Linked DNA regions of Macaca fascicularis. The protein of the gene in region 2 purifies or fractionates together with the protein of the main gene of each other region. This does not show direct contact. Links are inferred from orthologs where the notes say so. Each region holds a gene or a part of one and is shown on either strand. Other genes may lie near its edges.

Region 1 (7,465 bases), on a different chromosome or scaffold from region 2:
GTGCGCCCTAAGCGGTCTGCGATGTTGGGGTCCGCGCCTTGCTCCAGGAGGTAGCGTACCATGCGTGCCTTGTTCTGGGGGTCGTCGTAGCGAGCCCGACAGGCTGCCATTAGCGCAGTCTCCCCCTGCGCATCACCCTCATTCACGTAGGCGCCTCCCTCCAGAAGCAAACGGGCCAAGCGTAGCTTACCCTGACCCACCGCCCGAAGAAGAGCGTGGCCCTCGGTGTGCAACATAGCTGCGGCTGGGGTGAGGGCACAGATGGAGCCGGGACTGAGACCTGCCGAGGACGGCTAGGGGTAGGGGGTAGGGGGTGGGGGGTGGCTGGCAGAGGCCTGAGGTCTCAGTGACGAAGCCGATCCCTGCAAGAGAGACATCTTATTGATAGATTCGGCAGGGAAACTGAGGCACCGATGCAGGAACCCAGCGTGGGGTGGGGGAGATCTTCACGGCATACAGTCGTTCCTCTAACTCATGCCTTTGAGCCGGCCCTTCCCCCGCAGCGCATGCCTGAGGAGGTGGGAAGGGTGCACCCGCACTGAAGGACTAGCGCGCGTGCAAATGCGTTCGTGCACGCGCAGGGATGTCCGCACCCCCACCCTCACCCCATGGCTTATCAGACCTTTCCTCTATCCCCCTTTTCTTATCCACACTTGGGATCCCCCTTTCTAGGATGCTGAACGCCACCCACCCACATACATGCACCCTACAGTCACACATGTATTCTCATTCCTAACCTCTTTTAGCTTGCCACAACCCCAAAAATTGAGTGGGGGGAGGGAAGCAGACTGCATTTGAGACCTAAAACGGGTGGAGGGAGAATTGGGGGGTTCTTTTGCCCCTGCGATGTTCCCCATCACTCCTTGCTCTTTCCCCTCCCAGGCTGTGCGCCCAGATAGATACCTGAATGTCCGCAGAATCTCCTCCTGGCCAAGATTGGGGCCGTGGCCACGGGGCAGCCGAGGTGGCGGAGCCAGGTTCCTGGGGGCCCGCATGGTGTGGAGGGGGGGCACCCGGATTCCCTTGGTGTCAGTATCTGCGCCCCAGCGCCGGATCGTCGTCCCTCCTCCCGGAGCGCCCCGGGCACAGCGCCGGCTCGGGAGGAGAGAAGCTGGGGGGGGGGGGGGAAGGGGGGGCGGAGCTCTGCTGTGCTATTTATAGCCTAGTCTCTGCGGGTGGGGGCGTCGGGCACCAAACTGCTCCCCCACTCATGCACACATAAACCCTCAAAAACCTAGAGGCTCCAATCCTGACTTCCTTTTCTTAGCCGACCTCCCCTCAGCCCCAACAAACCTAAGTGTTCCTTAGGGGACTCCTCCGCGACCCAGACAGGGACCATCATCGTCCAGATTCTTCGCTGAGCTTTAGCAGATCCCCATTCTCTGCACTTGGTGTGTTTATGCGCTTCTGTGCGCCAGACCTGACCTACCACGCACGGCACATGGCACACTGTGCAAGAAAGGTGTAGACAGGCTTTTTGGATCCACAGCCGGTGTCCATACTGTGCAAAGAGAGGCAAGAGATGTGGCTTTCTTCCTGTAGTTTAATTGTGAAGGAGACACGGTCTAGCCTGGAGTCAGACACAGATACACCCCCGCCCCATCTCTCAAAAACGGAACACCCATCGCAGAGAAACTCGGACCTCAGCTCCCTTATATAGACCTAGATAAATGAGGAAGGTGGATATGGGGGCACTTTTAGACAGGGCAAGGGACATTCCCAGGTGCCTCCACCCCGTATTATTGTGGGCAGGGAGATAGGAAAGTGGCAGGAAGAAGAGCGAACCTGGTAATACACTCTGTCACATTGCACCTCTTTAATCTCAGTCTTGCTTAGTCGTCTTATTTTTTCCATCTTGCTTGAAGATCTCTGTCTGAAATGCTCCTTATAGCTTCTCTCTTCCTATCTATTGGTCTCTCACACTGTCTCTGCCTCTCCTTGCCACCTGCCCTGTCTCCATGGTTACCATAGCTTCCATCCACATATTTTAGGAATGAGTTTGTGTCCAGCTGGAAGGCACCAAGGAAAGTGGGAGAAGAAGAAAAATCCTAAGGTTTTAAAAAGTTCACTCAGGGTCCTGAGCTAATTCGGAGGCTGGAGGCCCCCCAGATGCAAGATACTGAAAATAATGTTCCCAGGTATGGGAGAGAGAGAAAGATTTGAGGGAAGCTACCCATTTTTACTAGTTATTTCTTGGACACGTGTCAACTATGTGCCATGTGCTTTACATACACTCTTTTCAATCCTCACAACTCTGTAAGATAGGAACTATCATCTTCTTGTTACAGATGAGGAAACAGACTTCATAAGTTTAAGCAAGTTCTCCAAAGTTTCACAGCTATATTTCTGTTCTATGGCAAAGACTGGGCGCTTGCCGCTACACCTACAGCCTCCCAGTTTACAGGTCATTTTCTCTTACATCTGGGATATTCTTCTTGACTAACTCCTAGACTTCATCTCCATTCTGAACCCTTTCTCCCTTGTTTCTGTTTTCTGCGAAAATAGGACTCCTCCTTCCACGCTGCTCGCCTTCCCAAGGAGCGCGCAGGAAGTGGAAAGTAGTGGAAAATGCAGAAAAAGCTGGGCTTCTGCCCTGTCTCCCCAACTCTGGTACTCTGATCCCAGATCCTTCCTTTCTCAAACCCTCTGCCCACCTTCTCACAGACACGGCAGCAACCCACAGAAAAACATTTTTAGAAAAGAAGTATCCATTGGTGGTGCTGGAGAGAGGCAGTGTATGATTGAAAGGAAGGCTGGAGTAATGGAGAGACCAAGTTGTGAAGCTAGAGTCACAAAGAGACTGATCCCTAAAGAGCAGCTTTCACAGGGGTTCATTTCTCCGTAGGCCCTCTCCTCTTTTGGCCTTTCTGTAGGGGCTCCCTCAACACGGTCCCTCGATGAGATACGAGTGTCACGTTCCCTTGGTGAACTCTTGCCGGCCAGTGGCTCCTTCCATCTGGAGTGAGACCGGAAATAAGTGACCCTAGATGATTCTGCAACCCCCATCTCCCTCTGCGACCCGCTTCGCAAGCTTCGGTTCCGGGCTTACTCGCTCCCTCCCTCCTTCTCTTCCTAGGCTTCAAGAGGGCGGACTTCCCTCCTCAGCTTCTCCTGCATTGGCCGAGAAAACTCACCAATAGGGAGCTCCGGGAGGCGGGCCTAGAACGCCACCGACTTGAGGAAGCCCAGTACATTTCAAGTTGGCCGCGGCGTGGGCTCCGCGTGGGGGAGGGACAGCAGGTAAGGCTCCGACCTGGTGGCTCTGACCTGGTTCGGTCCCACACTTGCCGAACTTGTTCATCCCGGCCAGGCTGCGAAATAGATAATGCTTTCCGTCAGGTTGTTGGATCAGCCCCCTTCTGGCTCCCTACCTTTTCTCCCCTGGGCCCCCATTTCTGTATTGATTGTATACTAGAGAATGGTAGTTTTCTGTCGCGCACGGGGAGAGACATTAAAGCAGAAAACGAGACAGCCTCTTGTACCTCTCTTTGCTATAGCATCAACTTCCTCCCAATCTATTAATATTATCCCAAGAGCCTGACAAACTCCTGTTATCTATGAAGACTAGCTGAAATGCTACCTGTAGTTTTCCTGGACTGCCTTTCTTGCAAAATGAATTGTTCCCCCGTCTGACGATAGCATTTTGTGTATACCTTTATTGGGACACTTAGTGCACTCTCTCTCTTTAATGACTCTATGCCTTTTAGAATAGAAGGTTTTGTAGGATAGGTGCTAGTAGTTAATATATAGTGCCCAATAAACGTTAGTTAAATAGAATTGATTTTTGGCAACTAGCACTCTTTTTGGGGAGGCAGAATTTAAATTCCTAACATAAAATAAAAATAAAAATAAAAACTAACATAACTAGGGAACAATAAAAGACAATACAGTATGTAATTAAGAGCCATTAAATTAGTGGTTCATAATATTAGTGTTTCATAATTGTTTCTGCAATCTAGAGAAGGAAGAAAGCAGGGAGAACTGGAATGGTGAGGGGAGGCTTTATGGATCACAAGGTCTCAAGTTTGGAAAGGCCCATAGAAATAATGTATTTATTCATTCATTCAACAAATATTTATTGAGCACCTACTATATGTGAGACACAATGCTAAATCATGCTGATCACAGGGAATCCTCTACTAGAGCCATGCATCCTTCTTACAAACCCTATTTAGTAAATTGTTGCCCAGCTTCTATGTAAACATCTTTAGTAAGGAAACTCTCTTGTCTCTCTTGTAGGTCATTCCATGTTTTGATATCTGTTCTTTAGTCAATATCCAATAAATATTCTAAATAAGAACTATATAGCTAAAGGAAATGCATTCCACACTTCCACTGTAAACAGGGGAAATCTGGCTGGGAGCGGTGGCTCACGCCTGTAATCCCAGCACTTTGGGAGGCTGAGGCGGGCGGATCACCTGAGGTCGGGAGTTGGAGACCAGCCTGACCAACATGGAGAAACTCCGTCTGTACTAAAAATACAAAAATTAGCTGGGCGTGTTGGCGAATGGCTGTAATCCCAGCTACTGGGGAGGCTGAGGCAGGAGAATCATTTGAACCCAGGAGGCAGAGGTTGCAGTGAGCTGAGATCGCACCATTGCACTCCAGCCTGGGCAACAAGAGCAAAACTCCGTTTCAAAAAAAAAAAAGACGGAAATCTGTCCTTTTACAGTGGAATTGGTAGCATTCTTAAAAGCAAGCCATTTCTAGCTGGGCGTGGTGACTCATGCCTGTAATTCCAGCACTTTGGGAGGCTGAGGTGGGCAGATCACTTTAGCCCAGGAGTTCAAGACCAGCCTAGGCAACAACAAAACCCTGTCTCTACAAAAACTACCAAAAATAAAGAAAAAAATAGCCAAGCATTGTGGCTCAGGCCTGTAGTTCCAGCTGCTCAGGAGGCTGAGGTGGGGGGTTGCTTCAGCTGGGGAAGTCGAGACTGCAGTGAGCCAAGATTGCCACTGCACTTCAGCCTAAGCGACAGAACAAGAACCTGTCTCAAAAAAAAAAAAAAAAAAAAGAGGCCGGGTGTGATGGCTTACACCTGTAATCCCAGCTCTTTGGGAGGCTGAGGCAGGTGGATCACGAGGTCAGGAGTTTGAGACCAGCCTGGTCAACATGGCAAAACCCCGTCTCTACTAAAAATACAAAAATTAGCCAAGCGTGATGGTGGGTGCCTGTAATCCCAGCTACTCGGGAGGCTGAGGCAGGAGAATTGCCTGAACCCGTAAGGTGGAGGCTGTGGTGAGCCGAAATCACACCACTGCACTCCAGGCTGGGTGACAGAGCAAGACTCTGTCCCCAAAAAAAAAAAAAAAAAAAGGTACACAACTCTCTGCACTAAAAAAATTTCCAAAAAACCTCATCCCTCAAATTAACCATTGTTAATTTTTGGTACATATCTTTCTTTAACAGCTTTTTAATTCATATGTGTGTATGTATTTCTGACAGATTACCTTCTACATATATTTAATATTTTTTTCACCAACTAATCTCTTGTGAATTTTGAATTGCTACTTGATTTTTGTTTTAGCTTTTTGTTTTGAGACAGGGTCTCTTTCTGTCACCCAGGGTGAGTGCAGTGGCATGATCATGGCTCACTGAATCCTCTATCTCCTGGGCTGAAGCGATCCTTCTACCTCAGTCTCCCAGGTACCTGAGACTATTTTTCATAGTCTATTTTTTTATTTTTTGTAGAGATGGGGTCTCACTGTGTTGCCCAGGTTGGACTCAAACTCCTGGACTTAAGTAGTCATCCCATCTCAGCCTCCCAGAGTGCTGGGATTGCACACAGGTGTGAACCACCACACCCACCCTCGAGGTTTTTTTTGTTTTTGTTTTAATTAATAGATTATATATTTTAGAACAGTTTCAGACTTACAGAAAAATTTAGCAGATAGTGCCAAGAGTTCCCATTTGTCCCAGTGCACAGTTTCCCCTATTAACATTGTAGATTGGGCCGGGCGCAGTGGCTCAAGCCTGTAATCCCAGCACTTTGGGAGGCCGAGACGGGCGGATCATGAGGTCAGGAGATCGAGACCATCCTGGCTAACACGGTGAAACCCCGTCTCTACTAAAAATACAAGAAAATTAGCCGGGCGAGGTGGCGGGCGCCTGTAGTCCCAGCTACTCGGTAGGCTGAGGCAGGAGAATGGCGTGAACCCGGGGGAGCGGAGCTTGCAGTGAGCCGAGATCGCGCCACTGCACTCCAGCCTGGGGCACAGAGCAAGACTCCGCGTAAAAAAAAAAAAAAAAAAAAAAAAAAAAAATTGTAGATTGGCCGACCATGGTGGCTACCGCCTGTAATCCCAGCACTTTGGGAGGCTGAGGCGGGTGGATCACGAGGTCAGGAGTTCGAGACCAACCTGGCCAAGACAGTGAAACCCCATCTCTATTAAAAATACAAAAACAAATTAGCTGGGCCCGGTGGCGGGCTCCTGTAATCCCAGCTACTCGGGAGGCTGAGGCAGTAGAATCACTTGAACCCGGGAGGTGGAGGTTGCAGTGAGCCGAGATTGCGCCACTGCACTCCAGCCTGCACGACAGAGCAAGACTCTGTCTCTAAAAAAAAAAAAAAAAAAAAGGCCGGGCGCAGTGGCTCACGCCTGTAATCCAGCATTTTGGGAGGCCGAGGCGGACGGATCACCTGGTCAGGAGGTGGGGACCAGCCTGACCAACGTGGAGAAACCCCCTCTCTACTAAAAAAAAGTATAAAATTAGCCGGGCGTGGTGGCGCATGCCTGTAATCCCAGCTACTCAGGAGGCTGAGGCAGGAGAATCACTTGAACCCGGGAGGCGGAGGTTGCGGTGAGCCAAGATCGCGCCATTGCACTCCAGCCTGGGCAACAAGAGCGAAACTCCATTTCCAAAAAAATAAATAAATAAAGTAGATTAGTATATTTGTTACAATTAATGAATGAATACTGATACATTATTAACTAAGGTTCATACTTGATTGACATTTCTTTGGTTTTTAGCTATTGCTCTTTTTCTGTACATGGATCCCATTTAGGATTCCACATTATATTTAGTTGTCACATCTCCTTACGCTCCTCTTAAGTGTGACGGGTTTCTCACACTTTACTGTTTTTGATGACTGACAGTTTTGAGGAGTTGTTTATATTGTAGGATGCCTTTCTGCTTGAATTTGTCTGATGTTTTTCTCTGTATTAGCCTGAGGTTATGGGTTTTTAGGAGGAGGATCACAGAGGTGAAGTACCATTGTATTGTATAATATTAAGGGCACATACCGAAAACATGATTTATGAGTATTGATGCTGACCTTGGTCATCTGGTTGAAGTAGTGTTTTTCTGGTCTCTCCACTGTAAAGATATTCCTCTTGATTTCCTAAATTATACTGAATGAGGGCTGGGCGCAGTGGCTCACGCCTGTAATCCCAGCACTTTGGGAGGCCGAGGCAGGCGGATCACGAGATCAGGAGTTCAAGACCAGACTGACAACATGGTG
Region 2 (8,104 bases):
TATCTAATATTTATTTATTTATTTATTTAAGACATGTCTCGCTCTGTCGCCCAGGCCAAAGTGCACTGGCATGATTTTGACTCACTGCTTCCTAGGTTCAAGTGATTACCGTGCCTCAGCCTCCCAAGTAGCTGGGATTACAGGCATGCACCATCCGCCCAGCTAATTTTTGTATTTTTAGTAGAGACGGGGCTTTGCCACATTGGCCAGGCTGGTCTTGAACTCCTGGCCTCAAATGATTCATTCGCCTGCCTCGGCCTCTCAAAGTGCTGGGATTGCAGGTGTGAGCCACCGCACCTGGATAAAAGCCAAAGTCTTTATCACCCCATGTAAACCCTAAACAATCTCCTGCCCCTTGACCTGCCAGACCTCATCTCCCACGAGCCTCCTACCCTCCTCTCCTCTCTAAACCCACCTCTGGGGATGTGTAGCTGCTCTACCCGCCTGATAACCTCATGGCCCCCCCTTCACCTCTTTCAGGTTTTTGCTCAAATGTCACCTTATGGCTAAGACCTTCCCTCTCCAAATCAAATTGCAAACTGCCTTCCCCACCCCTCAATTCCCTTCTCTGCTCTGGTTTTCTCCATAGCAGGTGTCTATCACCATGTGACAGTTTACAGCTCTGCATCTGTGCCCACCTCTATTGCCACTAAGCTGTAAGCTACGTGAAGGCAGAGATTTTGGTCTATTTTGTCCCTTGTGGTACCCCAAGTGCCTAGTACATAGCAGGCACTCAATACATGTTTGTTGTCTAAATAAATGAACCATGGGAATGCTATTTAATAGGAAGCTACAGAAGGATTTCGGGCAGAGGAAGATATGGAGGGGGTAGAAAGAGAAACTTCAGGGAAACAGGCTATCGTAACAGTCCCAGAGATGGAGGATAGAATGAAAATCAGAAGTCGCATCTCGATAGTTTCAGGTGCATCTCGACTCTCTGCTGTGCAGACAGAGGGCAGCGTGGAGGGGAGAGCCCAAGGCCTGACTCCATCTGCACTGGCTGCCAAGCACCACAGACATGTCAAGCTCCTGCCTTCTCTGCAGCTCGGCAGTGGACAACTGAGAGGCTGGAGCCTGCCAGGTGAGCAAGGGGACAGATCATAAGCATTGAGGGTGTGGCCTGGGAGCTTCCAAAGACACAATCATTCTTTCTCTGCTATTGCTATGCCCTGTTGGCCTCTGCGTTGCCAGGGATCAGGGAGGCTAAGGTGCCCTGTCAGCTAGAGAGCTGGAGCTCCTCCCTCTGGATAGTACATCTGGGTTGATACAAAGAGTGTCACCTCCCTTCATCCTCCAGGTTGAGGTGATCCAACTCAGTGGCTTTCAAAGTTTTCAGCCTAAGATCCACCACAGTAAGAAATTCATCTCAGCCGGGCGCAGTGGCTCACACCTGTAATCCCAGCACTTTGGGAGGCCGAGGCGAGCAGATCACAAGGTCAGGAGATCAAGACCATCCTGGCTAACACGGTGAAACCCCATCTCTACTAAAAATACAAAACATTAGCCGGGCGTGGCAGCGGGCGCCTGTAGTCCCAGCTACTCGGGAGGCTGAGGCAGGAGAAGGGCGTGAACCCAGGAGGCGGAGCTTGCAGTGAGCCGAGATCGGGCCACTGCACTCCAGCCTGGGTGACAGAGCAAGGCTCCGTCTCTGGGGAAAAAAAAAACAACATGAAATTCATCTCATATAAATAACCCAGAACATACACACAGTTGCGTAACTGAAACAAAGTTTCATATAACTCTGTCTCTACTATATGTCAGGCAGTGATGTTTTCTACTTCATTCATTCAAAACAAAAAATGCTAGCTTCAATTCCACTAAATCAATTTTACTTCCCACTAATAAATCTCAATCTGCAATGTGAAAAGAACTCATCCATGTCTCCCTATGGCTACCTGCCTCAAAGTCTCCCAGCAACAGTGAGTCCTTGGAAAGGCTGGCGTGGTGGCTCATGCCAGTAATCCCAACACTTTGGGAGGCTTAGGTGGAAGGACTGCCTGAGACCAGGAGTTCAAGACCAGCCTGAGCAACATAGTGAGACCCCCCCCCGACCCCCGGTCTCTCTTTAAAAAAAAAAAAAAAAAAAAATTAGCCCAGCGTGGCCTGCAGTCCCAATGACTTGGGAAGTTGAGGCAGCAGGACTGGTTGAATCCAGGAGTTTGAGGCTGCAGTGAGCTATGATCACACCACTGTGTTCCATCCTGAGTCACAGGGTGAGACTCTATCTCTATTCGGGGCGGGGCCAGGCACGCTGGCTCACGCCTGTAATCCCAGCACTTTAGGAAACTGAGGCAGGCAGATCACCTGAGGTCAGGAGTTCCAGAACAGCCTGGCCAATAAGGTGAAACCCCGTCTCCACTAAAAATACAAAAATCAGCCAGGTGTGGTGATGCACACCTGTAATCCCAGCTACTTGGGAGGCTGAGGCAGAAGAATCGTTTGAACCCAGGAGGCAGAGGTTGCAGTGAGCTGAGATCTTGCCACTGCACTCGAGACTGGGTAACACAGCAAGACTTCATCTTAAAAAAAAAAAAAATGTAAATCATTATTTCCCTGCCTAAAACCTGTCAACTGTCACTGTCACATAAAACAAAACCCAAACTCCTTTCCATGAGCCGCCTAAGGCCCTACATGATCTTGTCTCTGACTTCCCCTGACCATCCAGGCTGGTAGCCACTTGCTGGGCCTCCACCAAGCCAAGCCCCAGTCCACCCAAGGTCCTTTGCACATCATCTATTCCCCCACAGGGATTTCCAAGGTTGCTCCTTTTTATTAAGTATCATCACCGCCTGCAGGAGAGGATAGGTTCCCTGGCCACCCTATTTTAAAAGCCTCCCCCAACTTCCTCCCAGGCACTACCACATCTCTATTTTCTTTCCTTAATGGGTCTCACCTTAATCTGGAACTACCTGGTCTATTTGCTCAGGTGTTGTCTTCTGCAATAGAATGTAAGCTCCATGAAGGCTTCTCAGTGCTTCAGTTTCCTCAACTATGAAATGAAGATTAAAAAAAATATATATCCACTGCTAGATCTCTCAATACCTAGAACAGTGCCTGGCACGAAGTTGACACTCAATATAGTACAAAGAATACTTTATATTTAATCTTCTCATTAGCCCTATTAATAGAGATTTATCATCTTCAATTTGGAAATGAGGAGACTGAGGTTGAGAGAGAAGTAACTCATCCGAGGTGGAATCAGGACAGAAACTAGGGTCTCGTTGATGTCAAAGATCCTTATTCTTATTCTTAACCAGTATACTGCACAGATCTTCGATAAAAGGCAGTATGGTTAAGTGGGTAAGAGCCTGAACTCCGGAGCAAAACTACGCGGGTTCAAATCCCACCGCAGCTGCTTCGCATCTGTGACCTACTTGAGTTGTCTACGTCTGGTATTCTTCCCTATTTTCATCCCTAAAGTAGGGAAACTAAGTACCGACCTACAAACAGCTGCGGGGAGGAGTAAAGACGGTAATAAACGTAACCTATGGGAAGGTTCGTTATTACTTGACAACATGTTTTCTGCCAATGTAGGCGGGTAAAAACGCTGCAAGCGGGAGCGTCACCTGGTTTCTAATGAGCCATCACCACAACCCTATGAGGTAGGAATTTCTATTATCCCCATTTCACAGATGAGGAACTGTTGAGATCGCTAAGATCTCTTCTTTCCGCCTCCAAGCCCAAGGAATTCTAAAGCTAACCCAAAGGAACGACCTTGTTTGTTTACTGACACCTCCTCGGACCGAATGGTCAGGGCCGTATCCGGAGCACAGAGTTGGCTCAGTAAACACTGAATGGTTGCCTGAATAAATGAACGAGGAATCCCAGGCCTCGCCAGGCAGAAGCTAATCCGGTTCAGCTGCGAAGAGGGGGCTCCGGCAGGCGCAGGTGCCCTCCCTGCCCATCGGGGCGGGCCGCCGACCCCGAGCCTCGCTGTCCAATGGGTTTCTGCTCCCTCGCGGGTGGTCAGGACCCCTTCTCACGCCCACCACGCAGTCCCTGCCGCGAGCCGCCACCACACCCGACGCCGAGGACAGGTGTTCCTTCCGTAGGATGCCCCCCAGGCCCGGGTGGGGCAGGTCGGCAGGACCCTGAGTCACCGCCGGCAGCGTCGGCCGCGGCCTCCCCAACTCCCAGGTGTCGGGTCGGGGAAGTAGGAGTCCGGGGTCGGCCTGGAGCCGGCTGCCCCTCCTCCCGCCCGAGTCCCGAGAGGCCCCCAGCCCCTCAGCACGGCGCGGCGCGGGCCTCCTTGGCCTACTCGGGAATCTAGCCCAGACCCACGTCATGAGTGCGGTCCGGCTCAAGCCCCAGCTCGGGCGCTGCCAAGATGGGACTCACCTCTCCGCGGGGGCCGAGCGCGGACGGCGGCAACCGCCCAGTTACCCGCGGGCTGCAGATGCGGCGGCGGCCCGGCTCTCCTCTCAGGCGGCGGCCATGTTGCTGGTGGAGAAACTCCGGCGGACACGTGGGGGGAGCGGGCCGGCCCCAGCGCTTCCTCTTACCCACAATGCCCCGCCCCGGCGCACACGGCTCCGCCCCCTCCGCCGCGCCATTCATGCAGGCCGTGAGCCCCGCCCTGCAGCAGGGGGCGCTGATGGCACGCGCAAAACAGCCGGGCGTGTATGCAGCGGGGAACAAAAAGAAACCAACCCTGGCAGCGGTGGGATTCGAACCCACGCCCCCGAAGAGACTGGAGCCTTAATCCAGCGCCTTAGACCGCTCGGCCACGCTACCCAGCTGGAGAAAGGGTTTGCCAGAACGCTACTTAATGCTTTTGCATTCGCATTTCATCTGGAAATCGCGAGGCGTTTTCGCTGAGGTTTTTTTGTTTAATGTGTGTTCAAGCTGATCCCTATAGAATTATTTTAAAAAGCCGTGTGCTGGAAAATAAACACTTGCTCCAGTTTTTAGACCCAGGTTTGTTCCGAATAGGTATTAGAGCAAAACTCATTTTTAGAAACTGTACTCTGAGATGGATGGTTACCCTGGAGACCCCTGGTTAACTCACAAGTAATCCATACGACCCGGATTGCGTGTCTCCGGGAGAAGAAATCGATCTGATCAGAAACACGCCCTAGGGGATCTGACGGCCAAACCCGGGGGCTGGTCTGGGCAGTTGTCTCTGAGAAATTATGTGTTTAAATTTTTACTTACACAAATAACACACGAATTATTGTAAAATATTTAAACTTTGCAGATAAGGTACAAATGCTCTTTGACTCTTGACTCGCATCCTAGGCCCCTCCGCAGAGGTTAAGTAACCATTATTATCAGTTTAATATGTACTATGGTTTGAATGTGTCCCCCAAATTTCATGTGTTGGAAATTTAATCCCCAATGTGGCAGTATTGTGTGGTGGGCCCTTTAAGAGGTGATTAGATCATGAGGGTGGAGCCCTCATGAGTGGATTAATCTATTCATGGATTCATGGGTTAATGGATTAATAGGTTATCTTGGGAGGGGGACTGATGGCTTTATAAGTGGGAGCTTTATAAGTGCTAGACCTGAGCCAGCAAGTGAACAGCTCAGCACCTCCTCCATATCATGGCTTGTACTGCCTGAGGACTCTGCAGGGGTACCCCACCAGCAAGAAGGCCCTCGTCAGATGCACACTCTTGCGCTTGGACTTATCAGCCTCCATAACTGTAATAAGTAACTTCCTTTTCTTTACAGATTACCCAGTTTCAGGTATTCTGTTATAAGCAACAGAAAATGGACTAAAACACTATATATCTTTTGTACAAAAATGTACAAAAATTACAAAGAAAAAAAATCATCATCCATAGTGCCACCACCTGGCATTAAATTAATGACTATCATTATTGTGGCTTTTTTTCTTTTCTTTTCTTTTTTCTTTTCTCTCTCTCTCTCTCTCTTTTTTTTTTTTTTTTTTTTTTTTTGAGATGGAGTCTCGCTCTTGTCCAGGCTGGGGTGCAGTGCTGTGGTCTCCGCTCACTGCATCCTTCGCCTCCTGGGTTCAAGCGTCTTTACTAAAAATATAAATTTAGCCTGGCGTGGTGGCACGCGCCCGTAATCCCAGCTACTTGGGAGGCTGAGGCAGGAGAATCGCTTGAACCTGGGAAGCGGAGATTGCTGTGAGCCGAGATTCCGCCACTGCACTCTAGCCTGGGCGACAGTGTGAAACTCCGTCTCAAAAATAAATAAAGAAAAATAGATCACACTATTACAAATAGAAATTATTAGACCGTTACAAATAAAAATAAAGTCCCCTCCCAAACATTCTCCCCTGTCTATAACCGTCATGAATTTGATGTGTATCTTTCCAATAATTTCTTACATTTTTACATATAAAACTTATGTAAAAAACACATAAAATGGTTATCTGTTTGTTTTTCATTTATATAAATGTTAGCACATTGTACTGATATCTAAAACTTGCTTTTCTCATTTCAACAGTATTATTATTATTATTTTAAGAGAGTCTTGCTCTGTCACCCAGGTTAGAGTACAGTGGCACAATAGTAGCCTAGATCTCCTGGGCTCAAGTCATTCTCCTACTTCAGTTTCCCAAGTAGCTGAGATTACAGGCATGAGCCACTGTGCCAGGCCCAACATTGTGTTTTTGAGGTCTGTTACGATGCCTATAGATCTAATTCATTCATTCCATGCCATGAACAACTTTTAAGTTGTTACTAAATTTTTGTCATTACGCACGATATGGCAGGAAGTACCCTTGCACATGGCTCCTTGTCTTGTGTATGGACATTTCTCTAGGGTATACACTAGAAATGAAATTGCTAGACTATATTTATACTTTACCTAGTATTATATTATAATAATATTAATAATAGGCTGGTCTTGGTGGCTCACTCCTGTAATCCTAGCACTTTGGGAGACTGAGGTGGCAGGATCGCTCGACGCCAGAAGTTCAAGACCAGCCTAAGCAACGTTGAGAAACCTTGTCTCTACCAAAAAGCAAAAGAAAAGAAATTAGCCGGGCACGGTGGCGTATGCCTGTAGTCTCAGCTACTTGGGAGGCCAAGGTCAGAAAATCCCTTGAGCCAGGGAGGTCAAGGCTGCAGTGAGCCGAGATTCAGGCACTGCACTCTAGCCTGGGTGAGAGAGGAGACCCTCTCTATATAGATATAGATATGCATATATTTTTCCATTTTGCCAAAGTATATGATTTTTGATGACTTTTTTTTTTTTTTCTATTTCTTCTCATGTTTTCTATTTCTTCCTAAGTCAATTTTGGCAAGTTGTCATTTTCTGGGAAAACAAAGCCCATTACTTGATTTTTCACATTTATTGGTGTAAGAACTCCCAAATCTCCCTCATATCTGAAGTTTTCTCCTCTATCATTCTCTATCGTTTCTCTTTCCCTCTGTCATTTACATGGGTTACTTTCTCCATTATGCTGTTTAACACAGGGAGTGGAGTCAATGCTTAAGGAGACTGAATGGGGGAATTAGGCAGGAACTCTGCTAATGCTGGTGATGCTTTACACACATCAAAAACTATATAAATCACACTTTTTAAGTAGAATTCTCATTTTGCATTGACCGGTATTAGATTTTTCAGGGCCACGATTCAAGTTTCTGGCTAATATTCAGTTGGTACACACCCCTAACATTTGGACATTTTATATCTTTCCTTTTCAATCCCTCCTTAGCCTGGCTTTTCCCCCTCTCCATCCACCTTTTTTTTTTTTTTTTTTTTTTTTTTTTAGAGAGATGGGGTCTTGCTCTGTTGCCCAGGTTGGAGTGCAGTGGTATGATCACAGCTCACTGCAGCCTTGACATCCTGGGCTCAAGTGATCCTCCCATCTCAGCCTCACAAGTAGCTGGGACTAGAGGCATGCGCCATCACACTGGGCTAACTTTTGTATTTTTTGTAAGGACCTGGTCTTGCTATGCTGCTTAGGCTGGTCTCAAGCTATCCTCCTGCCTCAGCTTCCCAAAGTGCTAGAATTACAGGAGTGAGCCACCACACCTGGCCATTTGTCTACCTTTAACATATGTAATGATATGCAAAGATTTTCTTGTGCTAGTAGAGTTTGTTGCTCTTCAAGACATTAAAAAAAAAAATACAGAAGCAGCCATGATTGAAGACACAGGTTAGGCATTGTGGGGAGTTCAAAGCT

The links. The genes of interacting proteins can lie anywhere in the genome.
Region 1: the proteins of POLR3E (region 2) and POLR3GL purify together in Homo sapiens (co-immunoprecipitation; 5 studies listed by BioGRID and IntAct, counting the BioPlex papers as one, with this or other methods). This does not show direct contact. The link is inferred for Macaca fascicularis from reciprocal best matches to the Homo sapiens genes POLR3E and POLR3GL.

Annotation. Positions count from the first base shown.
Region 1 is NC_088375.1:113,449,621-113,457,085, reverse strand, and holds part of POLR3GL (DNA-directed RNA polymerase III subunit RPC7-like), read left to right. Parts: coding exon of another isoform or gene 1-236; exon of another isoform or gene 237-362; intron 363-882; 5' UTR 883-907; coding exon 908-977; exon of another isoform or gene 978-1,090; intron 1,091-3,076; coding exon 3,077-3,240; intron 3,241-7,465. Other genes in the region: ANKRD34A (ankyrin repeat domain-containing protein 34A), read right to left, coding at 1-236. UniProt on the Homo sapiens protein: DNA-dependent RNA polymerase catalyzes the transcription of DNA into RNA using the four ribonucleoside triphosphates as substrates. Specific peripheric component of RNA polymerase III which synthesizes small RNAs, such as 5S rRNA and tRNAs.
Region 2 is NC_088394.1:21,281,495-21,289,598, reverse strand, and holds the start of POLR3E (DNA-directed RNA polymerase III subunit RPC5), read right to left. Parts: upstream 4,457-8,104; 5' UTR 4,339-4,456; intron 2,990-4,338; 5' UTR 2,894-2,989; intron 1,649-2,893; exon of another isoform or gene 1,391-1,648; intron 1-1,390. UniProt on the Homo sapiens protein: DNA-dependent RNA polymerase catalyzes the transcription of DNA into RNA using the four ribonucleoside triphosphates as substrates.